3 linked regions of the Oryzias latipes genome follow. The protein of the gene in region 2 purifies or fractionates together with the protein of the main gene of each other region. This does not show direct contact. Links are inferred from orthologs where the notes say so. Each region holds a gene or a part of one and is shown on either strand. Other genes may lie near its edges.

Region 1 (4,850 bases), on a different chromosome or scaffold from region 2:
TAAGCTAACAATTTTCACTGTTCTGACTTTATTCAAGCTATAATATTCTAAATTGGAAGCCAACTTGAACAAGTGCTGAAGCTTACTAGGTAGCTACTAGACACTATGGTTCCACCACACACACACACTCACACACACACACACACACACACAAATAAAATAAAACTTCCATTGTACCAGCTGGACATTAATAAAAAGGCTTAAATTAATTAAAGAAAAACTTGCTGAGAAAAATATATGCTTTCTTCCACACAGTGCACACAGATTGTTTTTCACAACTTATTTGGGTTTCTATACATAACAGCCTCAAGCATAATTTTCTAAACTTATTTAAAAAAAACACTCAACGTTTATTTCCATTTACACTAATTTTATCTGAATTTCATTAAAAAAAATGAAAAAATTTGAAAACAATAAATTGCCTAATTGTATACAGTGCATTCTGGGGGGTATTATCTGGAGGGGCTGGTTTATCACATTTACACAACTGAAGAGAATCAACCACTATTAGGAGCCAGTGAAACATCGCCATGCTGCTCATTCCTCCAAGTTTTTTTTATTTTCTTTTTTTTTTTTTTCTAAATGTCCCCACCCTATTTTGATTCCTGACTGCTGCAGCACTTCCTCTTCCTGTGGAGTTCAAAGGTTAAGCAATGCTGATTGGCCAACCCTCCTGTTGAAATATACAGGCTGTAATGCAAAAAGAGTGCCCCCCAAGCTTACAAGGGTGTGGGTTCCCTCTTTTTTCATTGAGTATGATTATGTTCCATGTTCTACAGAGAGAGGGGGAGCTCAATTTACTCCAGCCCCAGTGTGGCTGAAACCCCCCCCCCACTATAAAACAACCTGAATATACAAAACATTAAATTCAAGAATCAAATCCTTCCCCTCTCTATTTTCTTATTAAAAGCTGTGTCAAACAATGTGTGTGGTTTTGTCTTTGTGATCTTTTTAAAAGCTATTCCATAAAAACCTCTTGGTATACAATTTAACCAATAGTTTGTCTTTATTTAACCTTTAAAGGGAAATTCTATAAAAACAGACTCATTGATATTTTTTTAGTTTAAAAAAAGGGATATATTTTAGGTGTAAACACGCAAACATGCTTCGTGATTCAACTTAGTACAAATAAAATATGTTAAATTTGGATCTAATAGTTTTAACCCCAATTCGACATCAATGCAAGCAGAATTACGCCAACACCAGGAATACGCACCACACGTCCAGATTTGGTGGAGCACTAAAGATTTTTTGTTTGTTTGTTTTTTGAAAGCCTGAAAACGCTCCACCTCTCACACAGACATTTCGCGAGTTGGGCCCTAAGCCTCCCATTCCACCCGCGATTTGAGGAGTCCATCTCATGCAAACAGCAGCACAACATGCTGAAGAGGGCGAAAGCGCAGGGCAGACAGGGAGAATGACGGGCAGATCCTTCTCAAATGGACGACTCCACAAGGCCTGCACGCCACAAATCCAGCCTGCGTTCACGTTTGCTCCTTTCGCCGTGCGCTCTGAGAGGGTTACAAGCCGCCATGAGCTTGGAGCTCATATATTGGGCACTACATGCGAAAACAAGGGTGGATGTGTAAACAGGAGAGCCAAAAGAGAGCATGTGAAAGCCAAAAGCACAACGGTTTAGGAGCAAAGCGGAGAGAAGGGAGTACAGTAATCCTCCACACGCCCCTTGTGTTTGACCCCTGAGCTTTCAGGGAGAGGAAATACTATTTTACGCAAAATAAAAAATTGAACAATGCACTGAATTTACTATGCTGGGAACCAAATAAAAACTGAAACTGCCATTTTGGATTTTTTTTATTTAAAAAAAAAAAGGCAAAATATGATTTAAACCTACCTTTGACGCTTAGGGACAGAATGCTCCACTTCCAGAAGTTTCCCGTGGAGTTCAACTTTACCTAAAACACAAAAAAGCAACTTCAGAAACATCCTGACCTTCCGGTAGAAAATTCACTCTTTATGGGAAGTTTCTCTCTCAAAAAAAAACATGAGCGTATTTTCTCCATTAAGCTAAACGCATAAAGACGACAGCAATTCCCATCTACAATCTATTTGAGGTCACCTGAACCTGTGCGTTAAAGGCATATTTTACGAGAAAACAAGTGAAAGAAGAACCAAACGTGTTTGTTGGCTTCATTCAGTTGGCCTACATTTGACCAACACAATTAAACCACCTGGTGTGTCAGCAACATGGCTTCACCACGCAGACGGAGGGCCCGTGTTTTGAAACCCGGGGAAACTGAAACTTCGTGGGTGGAAAGGTAGAAACACACCGCTGTCAGTGAACCTCCAACAAGGTCCACTTCTCAAGGCGTCTGCGCCCCAGCTGCCCTGAACGCCACACGAAGCCATTGTATTCATGTCGTTTTGTTTACTTCTGCTTTTTAAAATCAAGGAAAGCCAAAAGACTTTCCACCTAAACCCATATGTTTAAACCCCTGGAGTCTAAAGGCCACGTAAAGGTTGTGTGATAGAAGAAAAAAGGCACCCCCGCCCTTCGTGCATGCATGCATGCATTTCTGGGGGCAATGAACGAAGTAAGACGATCCTAAATGGAGGCTCTTTGTGAATTTGTTGAAAATGTCTCACCTGAAAGAACATCGATGGCCTTCATCGCTGCCTTCTCGTCCGGGCAATCCACAAACGCATAGCCACTTTTGACCAGAAACGGACCACTGTGCGGAATCTTCCACTGCTCAAAGATACTTTCGAAGTCCTCCTCGCTCGCCTCTGCGCTCACGTTGCCAATGTAAAGCTTATTCATGTTCCACGCCGAGAGGGGACAATCTTTACGCGGAGGGAGAGTCAGTTACCTACTCCCGTGGATGTGCAAGTGCGGTGTGCGTGGAGTAGCCCGCGTCGCCGTTACTACTACGGACTGAGCGGCTGTGGCGTGCTTCCCGGTCGTTCAAGCCTCAGAATTTAAACTGGCAGCCTAGGTGTGCGTTCGCTCTCTGTCGCGCAATAAATAAACGCTCAATTATTAATCTCCAAACGTTGGCGGGCCGGGAGAAAAGGAGGAGAAACTACTTTGTGTCTTCTTCCAAACCCCTTGGCAAAGAGACAGAGAATGTCACACACGGTGAGGCTGGCGCCCGCCTCTAAGTCTACAGCCCAGAATAAGAAGAAAGGAGGAGGAAAAAAAAAAACTCTGCTATTCCGGCTTTTTTGAATGAGCCACGTGTTCAAACTACAAATCAGCCCACACGTGAGGATTCCCAATTGCTCAATTAAGTATTTGGGGGAAATTGCACGGGAATCTGGGGTGGGGACAGCAATGGGGAGTGAAGAAAAAAGGAGGGGAAGAGTGGATTGGTGTTGGGAAAATCTTGTGCGTAAAGGGATTCCATGAGAAAGTAGTGCATCTTAACTGGATTCACAATCGTTGCCTTTCTCTGCAAAACTTTGATTGTCATTGGTCAACAGGGGAACATTAAATCGACTGCGCGTTCACGCGCACTCCATAGCAGGGAGACAGAAAATTGCTGGTGCTCGTCCGCGCGGGTGCGCCGTGCCCTAAACTGATGACACAGTTGAGGGAGAAGGGGGTGTGGCCATTCATAAATAATGTTACACTGTATTGTTAAATTGCATATCGGATGTATTTAATTGCAGGTATGTGTGGAGCGTTGGCAGAACCCCGCGCGCACTCTTCGGACCCTCGCACTCAAGTGGAAATGACAACCTGATGACGGCGTCCATCTTCTCTAGCAGGCGTAGAGCCATGCTTCTCTGAGTCTGATCCACGGCTCAAAGTCCAACAGGGGGCCATTTTTTTCTCGTGTTTACATAAATTGAACATTTAAGATCGTATACTTTAATGTGAAATCTGATTTTTCTGCTTTTTACTTTCATATGTTTAGGCATCTGTGCACAACCCCCAGCCATGTGGCGCAAACGCACATGGCGAATCTTGTCTGGCATGGATTTACTAAAGAGGGAGGGGTCTCCTCTACTACTGGTAGTATGTCCCGAGCGACCTATGTAACGCATAGCCCAGCTCAATCACGTGTGCAATACATGACTGCAACATTACACAACTGTCAATAGGATCTTAAGTAAATTATAAGCAGGGGTTAAACTTTTACGTCCACGTCAGACAGAATCCAAACCTGTTGGTAGTGAAAAAAGTCATCTTTTAATCTAGTTCCAACCAAATTTTCTACTTGTTATAAACAAAACAAAAAAAGTTATTGGAAACCTCTTAACATAAAGTAGCTCAGTTGAAGTTTATTTCATTGTGTGCTTGAGCATAAGTATAGGCTACTATACTTGCTACCATCATGTAGTGTAGCGTAGAGTATACTAACTGCATACTTATTCAGACTAAATTGGAACATTTTAAGTGTACGATCTATTCAAGTATGCTACAACAGCTAAAGAAATTAGTTTTTGCAATAGTGGCCAACTAAAAGGTACAAATAAACTAATTAAGTCGATTCCTGAGGTACATTTAAAATTGTTTTTGATTGCTGGAGGTATGAGGAGTTTTGTTTTACCATAAACTTCTGTAAAACCTAAAGAACTTGCTCCAAACACACAACAATTAAGAAGTTTGCATACTTTGTGTCAGCTACTTTACTTTTGTTTTGTTCTTTTTAAAGCAACATTTGATACGCACAACATTATTTGGCTACAAAGAACTTCAACAATGTGCTTTGTTAAAGAGTTTAAATGCTTCATACTATTTAAAAAAAATGTAAATGATAAATAAAACGTGTTTAAAAACAAATTTGACCTTTAACATAGTTTGTGTTTTTTAGTAATTAATTAGCTCAATTGAAAAGTGTGGCTGTGTGTAAAGCAGGTTCCAGAGGCACCGTTGGCTCAGTGGG
Region 2 (4,229 bases):
GGTTCGTGCCCGGCTGGAATTCCACGACACAAAGTCTTTCATTTATCGCAATAGAACTGTGAAAGATAAAGTCTGGAGCGAGGTTTGTACCGCTTTGACATTTCGCACCGAGCCTCTTCAAACTGTAGCCGGCAGACATGCGCTAGTATTATTGCTATACTACTTAAATTGTTTAAAAATTACACAATATTAGGCCTGCACAATATACCGCAAATTTATCGCTATCGCAGTACCAAGCTGTGCAATACGCATATCGCAAAAGACAGCAAAAATTGCAATAAATGGTTACCTTAAATGTGCTAAAACAAGCTTATGGCAGCTTGAAGTATTTAACGAATCCAATAAATCAATTTATGCATTTGACCAATCAGATGGAGTCCTATTATGTTAGATGTTCCCCTTCTCTGTTGACGAGGGTCATTTGGAGTATAATTTTTAAACTGTTGCAATTATATGGGAATGATGTTTTTGGTTGTTTTACTCTTTGTTTATTTACCGCAAGTTATATTCTTATCGCAATATGTTTATCACCAAAATCACATATTGCGAGTTTTCCTCATATCGTGCAGCCATATACAATATGATTTCCTGGACTTCTACATTCTGTCTCCAACTGTTGAAATGTTTCTGTCATTAACACTACAGACCTCTGGCATCTCTGTGGAAGTGGGACAACTTGCAAACAGTTGTTTGCCCCACTGCAAGACTTACACTTCATGAGCTCACTTCTTTTTTCAGCTGAAGCGATGTCTTTGGCAATTTCTGCATTCAAAACTGAGAGGGAGAGAAAAGAAAAAACAGCTCAATTGGGCACAACAGCAGTTTAAATTAAAAAAATTGGTATTTGTAATAAAATTCCCACTATTTGCCACATCTGCCCCCTTGCTCTTTTATTGCATTTCAAAGCTCAAAACTACATTAGATTATTTTAGAAAAGAATAACGAATAACGTTGTTGAAGCTGACTAACCTGCATTGTACAAAGAAAATACAAAAGATAGCAGAATAGTGTACAGGAAATCCAAACTCAGCTGAGTAATGTAAGGCAATGCTATATAAAAGGCTGAAAATGATGTTTTAATGAGTTCTGGTTCTGTTTGTGAGGTGAAATTCTGGCCCAGACTGTGGTGTGGAACTGCCACCAGATTAGATTATAACCCGAGACAATAAACCCCGTTGTCTACCTGATATTTTCTCCTTTAGTTTGTGTACTTTCAGGTCCAAAAGGTGTTCCATGGATTTGGACAGCTCTCGTTTTGTCAATCCGCTTGCATCGGAAGACTTGGTGCCTTCTAAAAAAGGGGAAAAAAATAAATACAGGCATGAATCAAAATGAGTAAAAAGGATTATTTAAGGCAGAATCCAAGCAAAGGGTCTGGAGTTTAAAGTCAAACGCCGATCATCATTCGATCTTTTGTAGAAGAGTTCCCAGTGGTCTTTTAAAGATGACGTTTTTAGCCAAAAATAAACCTATGACGTTTTCTAGGACAGTTTCTGCAGAGTGGCAGTAGTTCAGTAGAATTTGCCTCTCAGTTGTGGGTGAGACCATGTATGTGGGGCATCCCTGCCCACCCCCCTTTCCTCCCAGTAGCTAAGAACAGGGCGCTTGTGGCCCGCCTAGTCACAAATACAAATATAAATCTTTTTCAAACCGTATTTTTGCGTCTGCTCCTGATTTACAGCGATTTGAATCAAAAAAAAAATTCTCAGAAATGCAACTTTGACATTAATTTTCTCAATGTTGGTCCTCCCACGTCAGAAAAATGCAACAAGAACATGTCAGAAAGTCCCCTACCCTGCTTTGCTACAGCACTGTAAGATCAGTAAATATTTAATAATGCTAACTTACATTTTTAAAGTCAAACAATTCTTACTTGATCTTTTCTTTGAGGCTGGTTTAGGCAGAGAAGTTTGGATGGGAGTTCCAGGCTCTAAAAAAAGACAAAAAATAGAGCATTTAAAGTAATCCTTTTAGATAAAATTTCACAATTTTGTTTCATTTTTCTTGTGAGTTATTATAAATCATTTTATTATAAATGAGTAAAATTCCTCAATTATTTAATATTATTTATTTTAATAGGTTACCCAATTGCTGAGATGTTTTTGGGGTCAAAGATAAAGAAGAAGCTGCTCCTGCACCTAAAAAAAAAATACAACAAATCCATGCGTCAGTATTTTATTATCCCTCAACAGTCGATAGACTAAAAGGTCCTCCAAATCAAACAGGATTGCTAAATATAAATGAATAAAACATCCGTATTTGACAGCATGTTTTGTTTTGCAACAGTTATGTATATTTTTATGCTTTATTTAAAATTTAATACGAGGGAAATACATGTAATTGTTTTTTTACTCCTAAGCTTACAGTTTTTGTTTTTTTCCACATTACAACAAATAATAGTGCTTAAGATTTCTTTCAAAATAAAACATTAACCATTGGAAAATCCACATGATGACTGGGCTGTGGGGTTGGTTAAGAAATTTTGATTTAATGCATTATTTGGACAAAAAAAAAGAAGTATTTTGTCTCATGTTTAACCTTCACAACTGAACGATTTTTAATGGTTTCTCGTGATTACTACGGGGTCAAATCAGGATTTTCTTAAAATGAATGAAAAACCAGATTGTACATTTAAAAAAACACTCATGTTTATTTGAAAATAAAAAAAATTAAAATAAGTTTTAAACTAGAAAGTACACTAACTTAAAAAAATAAATAAATAAATTTAGGAAAAATAACTTAAATTCGAAGAAATACTGACAACTTAAAAAAATAGCCTAACTTTACAGCTAAAACTTGCCAAATTCAAATTAAATTTTTTAAAAGTACAAAATTTTGGTTAATGTGCAATTTTGTGATATAAATCATATTTTGCCATGTCTTTTTTTCAAATTATTTTTTTTCATTCACTTTAAGCTTATTCAGATTTGATCTCATAGATTTGGGGCTTTTAAACATTTCATACTTTAATCATATAATGTGAAGATAAACAAGAAGTGACCATTTTTGCAGAAAACCCAATGAAAGAAATATTTTGTACAAAAAACAAGTCTTCGAAAAACTAAATTTCTGACAATCATCAACAATACTCATGCAAAAAATTAAAGATCCAGTCACATTTTATTTTTTCAGAAAATATTGATAAAGAATTTCTCCATTTCTAAATCATTGTGGGATCTAACAGAATTCATTTTGTGGATTTTAATAAAAATGATGGGGAAAAAATTACAGTTTAATATGATAAAGGGTGAATTTGCAGATTCGGTCACCCGTCCCATACTTTCATTTCTAAATACTCACCAGCTTGAAGAAAGACCGTGGCTACCGCTGGGATCAAATTGAACAGAATTCACCAACAACATTTTTAAAAAGGATTTAAAAAGTCCCGTCAGCGCAGCTGAAGACTGACCCGGTTTGAGCAGCTCTATCCGCGCTGCAACAGGATGTCCAAACATTTCCGTCAGGTGTTTCTTCAGCACAGCAGGAAAAATCTCTGCCGCCATCACTTTGCTGGAGTCCAAGGTGACCCGAGGCGTGTAGGGCTCAAAATTCACAGCTTGGGGGAGTGTGAATGACGTCTGCAGGACAGAGGGTGGATCATGATGCACCTCATTGTAATCACAGACACACTGCTGGGTGAGATTTCTAACATCTAAAAGAGCTTTTTTTTATGAAGGTGTGGAGCCATAAAACCAGGTGAGACACCACTAGTGGATCAAAGATCGAATTAGAATTGAACTGTGTACATGGTCCCAGAAAAACCTTATGCGATTATAACAAACGTTTACATACGCCACACTTTTGGTCGGAACAAATCATTTGGACGTGCAGGACTCTCCAAAATACCGGAAACGACCACAGAAGAGGAAATATTGATTTCTGTTGTAAACAAACAAACCTGCAGCGTGGAGTGAGATGATCTTCTAAACGTGATTTTATCATTATTATGATTATTATTACGTGCTTGTTCGCTCGTACTTTTTTTTTTAACTCTGTGCCTTTTTTCTTGGCGGAACGGAGCCGAAAGAAGGGTTAGGCTAATAAGTGCCAGCAACAACATTTAGCCGTGGATGCATTTAAAATCCATGTGGTCAAGGCCGCAATGTGCATCTTGACTGAACGTAAATATGTGGAACTAACGTCAGCCTTTATTTTGTCTGGACACGATTGGAGACATGAATTCACAGGATTGTTTACACGGTTTCTCAGGACCCTAACCCCTGCTGCAA
Region 3 (5,020 bases), about 12 Mb from region 2:
CTTAGTGATCCTAAGAAAAGAGAGGACACAGCCCACAACTACATGGGAAGAGCTGTTTGACCTCTTCCTCCTCCACTTTCATCAAATCAAACTTTATTTATAGAATAGCGCTTCTCATGCAGTTGCACAGCTCGGAGCGCTTTAACATTAAAAACAGAAAACACACAATATTACAGTAAAAACCCAACCCACCCTTCACCCTTCCCACTCCCCTCCGTTAAAACATATGACCCATGGCCCCCTACATATAAAGAATAATGACTATGTAACTTTAAATAAAATAACTAAATAAATATGCAAACAAGTATGGCTTTGCTCTGCTGTGAGGAAACAGTATTTGGGAATCTCTTCATGCCAGGAGCCAGCCTGGCCATGGGAGCATCGCCACAGTGCCCACCCAGACGGGGACAACACTCGGGTCCACTTCACAGACGTGAAGCTGCAAAGTTAGACTCCAGCTGCCCCAGCAAGGGCAACAACTGCAGCAACAACCACCGACCAAGCCGGCAAGCCCTGGAAGAAAATATCCCCACAAGAAACACTGGGGCTAAAATCATGATAAGATACTAAAATTAAAGATACTTATACTTACATAAAAGTGTCGACCTGTAAGGTAAGAGTAAAACCACTTAAGAACATTTCCAGAGAGGCCCACTAGACTCCTAAGTCTGTCTAATAAAATCTGGTGATCTACTGTATCAAAAGTGGCACTCAGATCTAGCAGTACCAGAACAGAAAGTTCTGTGAGTCGTAGTTTATTCTAAGATCATTAACGATCTTTAAAAGAGCCGTCTCTGTACTATGGTTTGTCCTAAAACCAGACTGATATTTTTCTAAAATTTTTTGGGTGATTAAAAAGTCATGCAGTTGAGTAGCGACACTTTTTTTTTAATAATTTTACTTAAAAATGGTAATTTGGATACGGGTCTGTAGTTATCCAGATTTTTTGGATCTAACTGACTCTTCTTCAGAAGGGGCCTCACCAAACCAGGGGAAGACCCCCATCTGAAGAGAGCAGTTAACTATGTTTAAAAGATCGGACTCAAAGAATCCATAAAATGTTTTAAAAAGTGAAGTGGGAATGTGATCCTAAACGCAGGTTGTAATGTTTACTTGAGATACAACTCGATCAAGCATCTCTGCATCAACAAGGACAAATCATCTTCCTCTTCATCTTCCATATCATTTCTCAACAATACAACTAGCAATCCAAATTCTTTTTTTTTTTTTTTTGCTAAGGTAAATAAAAGATTAAGAATAATGCATTTAATAAAAAGGGAAATCTGAATAATCCCGATAAAAATAAAAATAAATGAACAACCTATTTAAACAATACATACGTTAAAATACAGTCAAGATAAAAAAAAAAACATGGAGGAAGAATCTGTTAACCGTATGGGATTGTACTGGTTTTGTCCAATTACTAGAGACTCACAACTGAAACTGGAAAGTTAACATTTTTTAAAAGACAGAATTTGCCAGCATGTGAGTGGTTTTTCTTAAATCGTGATTTTTTAAAACTATAAGTATACATGTATATTTTGTAATGAAAGCGTTTTGTTAGTAGGCGTGGCCATTTTTCCTACGCCATGTTCACCTCAGCCGTCTATTGGCTGAATCAGGTTAATGGGGGTCCCCTACCCGAGATTACAGGGGTAAAATAATAAATCGTACCTATCTCTTTAAGTGGCGAATCTCTGGTGCAGCAGAGATCTGTTACTTGTAGTTAGAGGAGGTTCGAAAGTATAATTTTTCACATTCGGCATTCCTATATTTGGGAACAGTTTACAGTCGGGTACTTGTCGTAATTTATTCCACACGATTCTGTCTACTTTGATAGGTCCTTCAGAAGGTAAGTTAGTTAGCCATTCTCCAAGATTTCGGTTAAGCGAAGCAAACGTATCAGCTAGCATTGCGTTAGCAATATTGCCTTCCACACAACAACTGTTCGATTGTATTGTTGATATTTACAATTTTCAGTGAAACGGTTTTTTTTAATATAAGCAACCGTACTCCTAACTATACACGGGGACATTTTGTGATTCAAAGAGATTTGGAACACGCTTTCCTTTGTTGTCTTAAGCTAGCACCGACCGAGCATTCAGTTGTGGTGGTGGTGTTCAACGTTAAGTACGAATTTGGATGTTGATGTATTGACATAGCAAGAAAGTATTATTTCAAACATTTTTTTGTATTGATTTTTTTGTGTTGTAACCAAAAATACGATTTTAAAATGAGGAAGTTATTTTTACGTGTTTAGGCTAAGTTTCTGTAATGGCTAGTATCGCCAGGTGTTGCCGTCATCATGTTGGCATTTTCTATTTAACAGCTTGTGGTCAGCATTTTGGAGGTTTCCTGAACTAGTTTGTTGCAGTTGGTTTCAATAGTAATATAAAGTTAAAAATAAAATAAAAAATAACTTAGTCTATAACTGACTGTGAAGAAAATGCGACGACGCCACACGTTAGCTGAAGCTAGCTAGCTAAGCAGCAATGACGTTCTTCTTAGGGGTTAGCTGGCGTTAGCCATTTGGTGGCAGCGCAAAGGCCGGCATATTGTGAATAAAAATGTTATTTCACCTTGTAGTTAATGTTACGTTTGCTGACAGCGCGTGCACATTATGTCTCTACAAGCTCGGTAGAATTGGCATTCAGTAGAGCGTTTATACGTGTCTGTCACATTATGTTCTGAACATGCGTAGAAGAATGTTAGGTGATGAAGAGTTCTTAGGATGTGTAAGGCCTCCCCATAAGGCCTCTAGTCAGGAAGGTTTGCTTAGTTGTGTAACACATTCTTGAAATGTGGTGACAAATAAATGTAGAATTCTTTTTTTTTTTAAATTTTTTAATCTTCCTTTTTACACACCAGTTTGAGCATTTACACTAGATGTTTCCCGTTTTTTATTATGTACAGTCGGTTTGCCCCCCTTTGTCTTATTGATGTCGCAGAATGTTAACCGTTATGAACACCTTTGATCCGGATAAATGTTGTGATGTTCACGGTTTTCTCTCTTTTCATTACTTATTCATTTGACATGCTCTGAGAGAAAAATGTAAGGTTTTAAGTAATCGGCCAATTAGAGGAATCAAATGAATAGTTGGCCCTAGTCTGAAATTCTTATAGAATTTAAACCTGAATTTGAACGCTAACCAAATGACTCTAGGTGAGTTACTCATTACAAACAGCCTGGTTTGGGTTTAAAGGTTTCAGTACCTGCTTAAGGTCTTTATGATCATGGTAAAAATCTTCTTCAATTTTGCGTTTGTTTTTTTGTTGAAATTTTTATAAATGTTGTCCAACGTTTTAGATTATCTAAAGTAATCAAGGATTGGACTGGGTTAAAAACCCTAAATAGAAACAAGAAAATTTGTACTTTTATTTGAGGAAGATTAAATATGTCTTGAGATTTTGACATGCCTGTTTTCGAACAGTTGTCCTAAAGGTTACCGAATTATATTATCCAGCATTCAGCGATGACCTCTTATATTGTGGAGTTTAAAGTAGAAATAAGTCAGTTGAAATTCTATTTTATATCTCACTTTGTCCTTTACATGGTATTTTCTTGTTTTATATAAATTACTTATATTATATAAAACATCAGTCACCCGAGTCTGCAGTATGAAAACCTTTGTCATATCTGTGTCTTCATGCATAATTAGAATTTCTGATGGATCCTGTTTTTTTTTTTTTGTTTCAGCACTTAATATTGTTTACCAAAGAAATGGTGATGGAGAAGCCAAGTCCCCTGCTTGTAGGGCGGGAGTTTGTGAGGCAGTACTATACACTTCTAAACAAGGCACCGGATTTTCTGCACAGGTAACTTCAGAAATATAATTGAGGTATTTTATGTACAATAAATCTGCAGGTTCTTATTCAACGTCTTAATCATGTGTTTAGGTTCTACGGGAGAAACTCTTCCTATGTTCATGGAGGACTTGATCCAAGTGGAAAGCTGGCAGAAGCAGTGTACGGTCAGGCTGTAAGTGTGATCATCAGAAGGATTTTGTTGTTTGCTTAGACTTCAACTACTTTCTGTTCTTTGTTATTGCTTTTCTTATATTTACTGAGATCTAGTTCTCTATGGGGGAAATGCATATATATATCTATATATATATATATAGATATATATAAATACACACACACACACACACACACACACACACACACACACACACACACATAAATACAAGGTTTAAAAAAAATCTTTGGACTTTAAAATTATACAGCTTATTTAAAAATGTTCATCAATATTTAAATATAAATTCAAGAGTGCAACTTATGAAGGATGAGTGTTTTACATAAATTGTTTTCGTATTATATATTTATAAATTTATTTATTTTTTAATTTTCCTAGGAAATCCACAAAAAAGTCATGTCCCTGCAGTTCAGTGAATGCCACACAAAGATCCGGCATGTGGACGCTCATGCTACACTGAGTGATGGCGTGGTCGTGCAGGTCCTTGGGGAATTGTCAAATAACGGCCAACCTATGAGGAAATTTATGCAGACATTTGTGCTCGCTCCAGAGGTAAGTGCTGCATCCTTTTTTTTTTTTCAAAAAGTAGAGTTGGTTGTGTTTGATAACTCTTGAGGTTTAAACTTCCAGCTTTTAAAAAAAGTTTAAAAAATTTTTATGTTTTAAAATGTGAAAGGAACAATTTTTAAATTGCAATGGCATCACTCTCATAAATGGAGGGGAGAGGACGATGAGGCTGAAGATGTTATGTTGAATGTTTGTGATTATGCCCCCATAGTAGCCAAAGAATTTTGGGAGGGAGAAAGAGGAAGAGATTCTGGGTATCAGGGGAGAGAGTGGTGATTGTGACAGTTTAATAGATATGTGGGTTAGAGGAAACAGAGGTGACGAGCATGGGGGAAGCTTGGTGTAGAGGATAAAAAGTGGTGGACCTTCTTTAAAAAATGGAAATGGAGGTGGTGAACACATTTTTTCCAGAAAAGAGAGGAGCATATGGTGACAAAAGAATGGAGGGAGGAGCACATTAGTTTGTCACATCTTGTG

What was found.
Region 1: the proteins of E3 ubiquitin/ISG15 ligase TRIM25 (region 2) and igf2bp3 purify together in Homo sapiens (affinity purification with western blotting; 3 studies listed by BioGRID, with this or other methods). This does not show direct contact. The link is inferred for Oryzias latipes from reciprocal best matches to the Homo sapiens genes TRIM25 and IGF2BP3.
Region 3: the proteins of E3 ubiquitin/ISG15 ligase TRIM25 (region 2) and g3bp2 purify together in Homo sapiens (affinity purification with mass spectrometry; 4 studies listed by BioGRID and IntAct, counting the BioPlex papers as one, with this or other methods). This does not show direct contact. The link is inferred for Oryzias latipes from reciprocal best matches to the Homo sapiens genes TRIM25 and G3BP2.

Annotation. Positions count from the first base shown.
Region 1 is NC_019869.2:10,791,061-10,795,910, reverse strand, and holds the start of igf2bp3 (insulin-like growth factor 2 mRNA-binding protein 3), read right to left. Parts: upstream 3,336-4,850; 5' UTR 2,780-3,335; coding exon 2,605-2,779; intron 1,914-2,604; coding exon 1,853-1,913; intron 1-1,852. UniProt on the Homo sapiens protein: RNA-binding factor that may recruit target transcripts to cytoplasmic protein-RNA complexes (mRNPs). This transcript 'caging' into mRNPs allows mRNA transport and transient storage.
Region 2 is NC_019859.2:4,840,535-4,844,763, reverse strand, and holds part of E3 ubiquitin/ISG15 ligase TRIM25, read right to left. Parts: intron 3,579-4,229; coding exon 3,410-3,578; intron 3,328-3,409; coding exon 3,301-3,327; intron 2,139-3,300; coding exon 2,085-2,138; intron 1,931-2,084; coding exon 1,874-1,930; intron 1,292-1,873; coding exon 1,184-1,291; intron 775-1,183; coding exon 712-774; intron 1-711.
Region 3 is NC_019859.2:16,816,407-16,821,426, forward strand, and holds the start of g3bp2 (ras GTPase-activating protein-binding protein 2), read left to right. Parts: upstream 1-1,659; 5' UTR 1,660-1,852; intron 1,853-3,697; 5' UTR 3,698-3,721; coding exon 3,722-3,816; intron 3,817-3,897; coding exon 3,898-3,979; intron 3,980-4,354; coding exon 4,355-4,528; intron 4,529-5,020.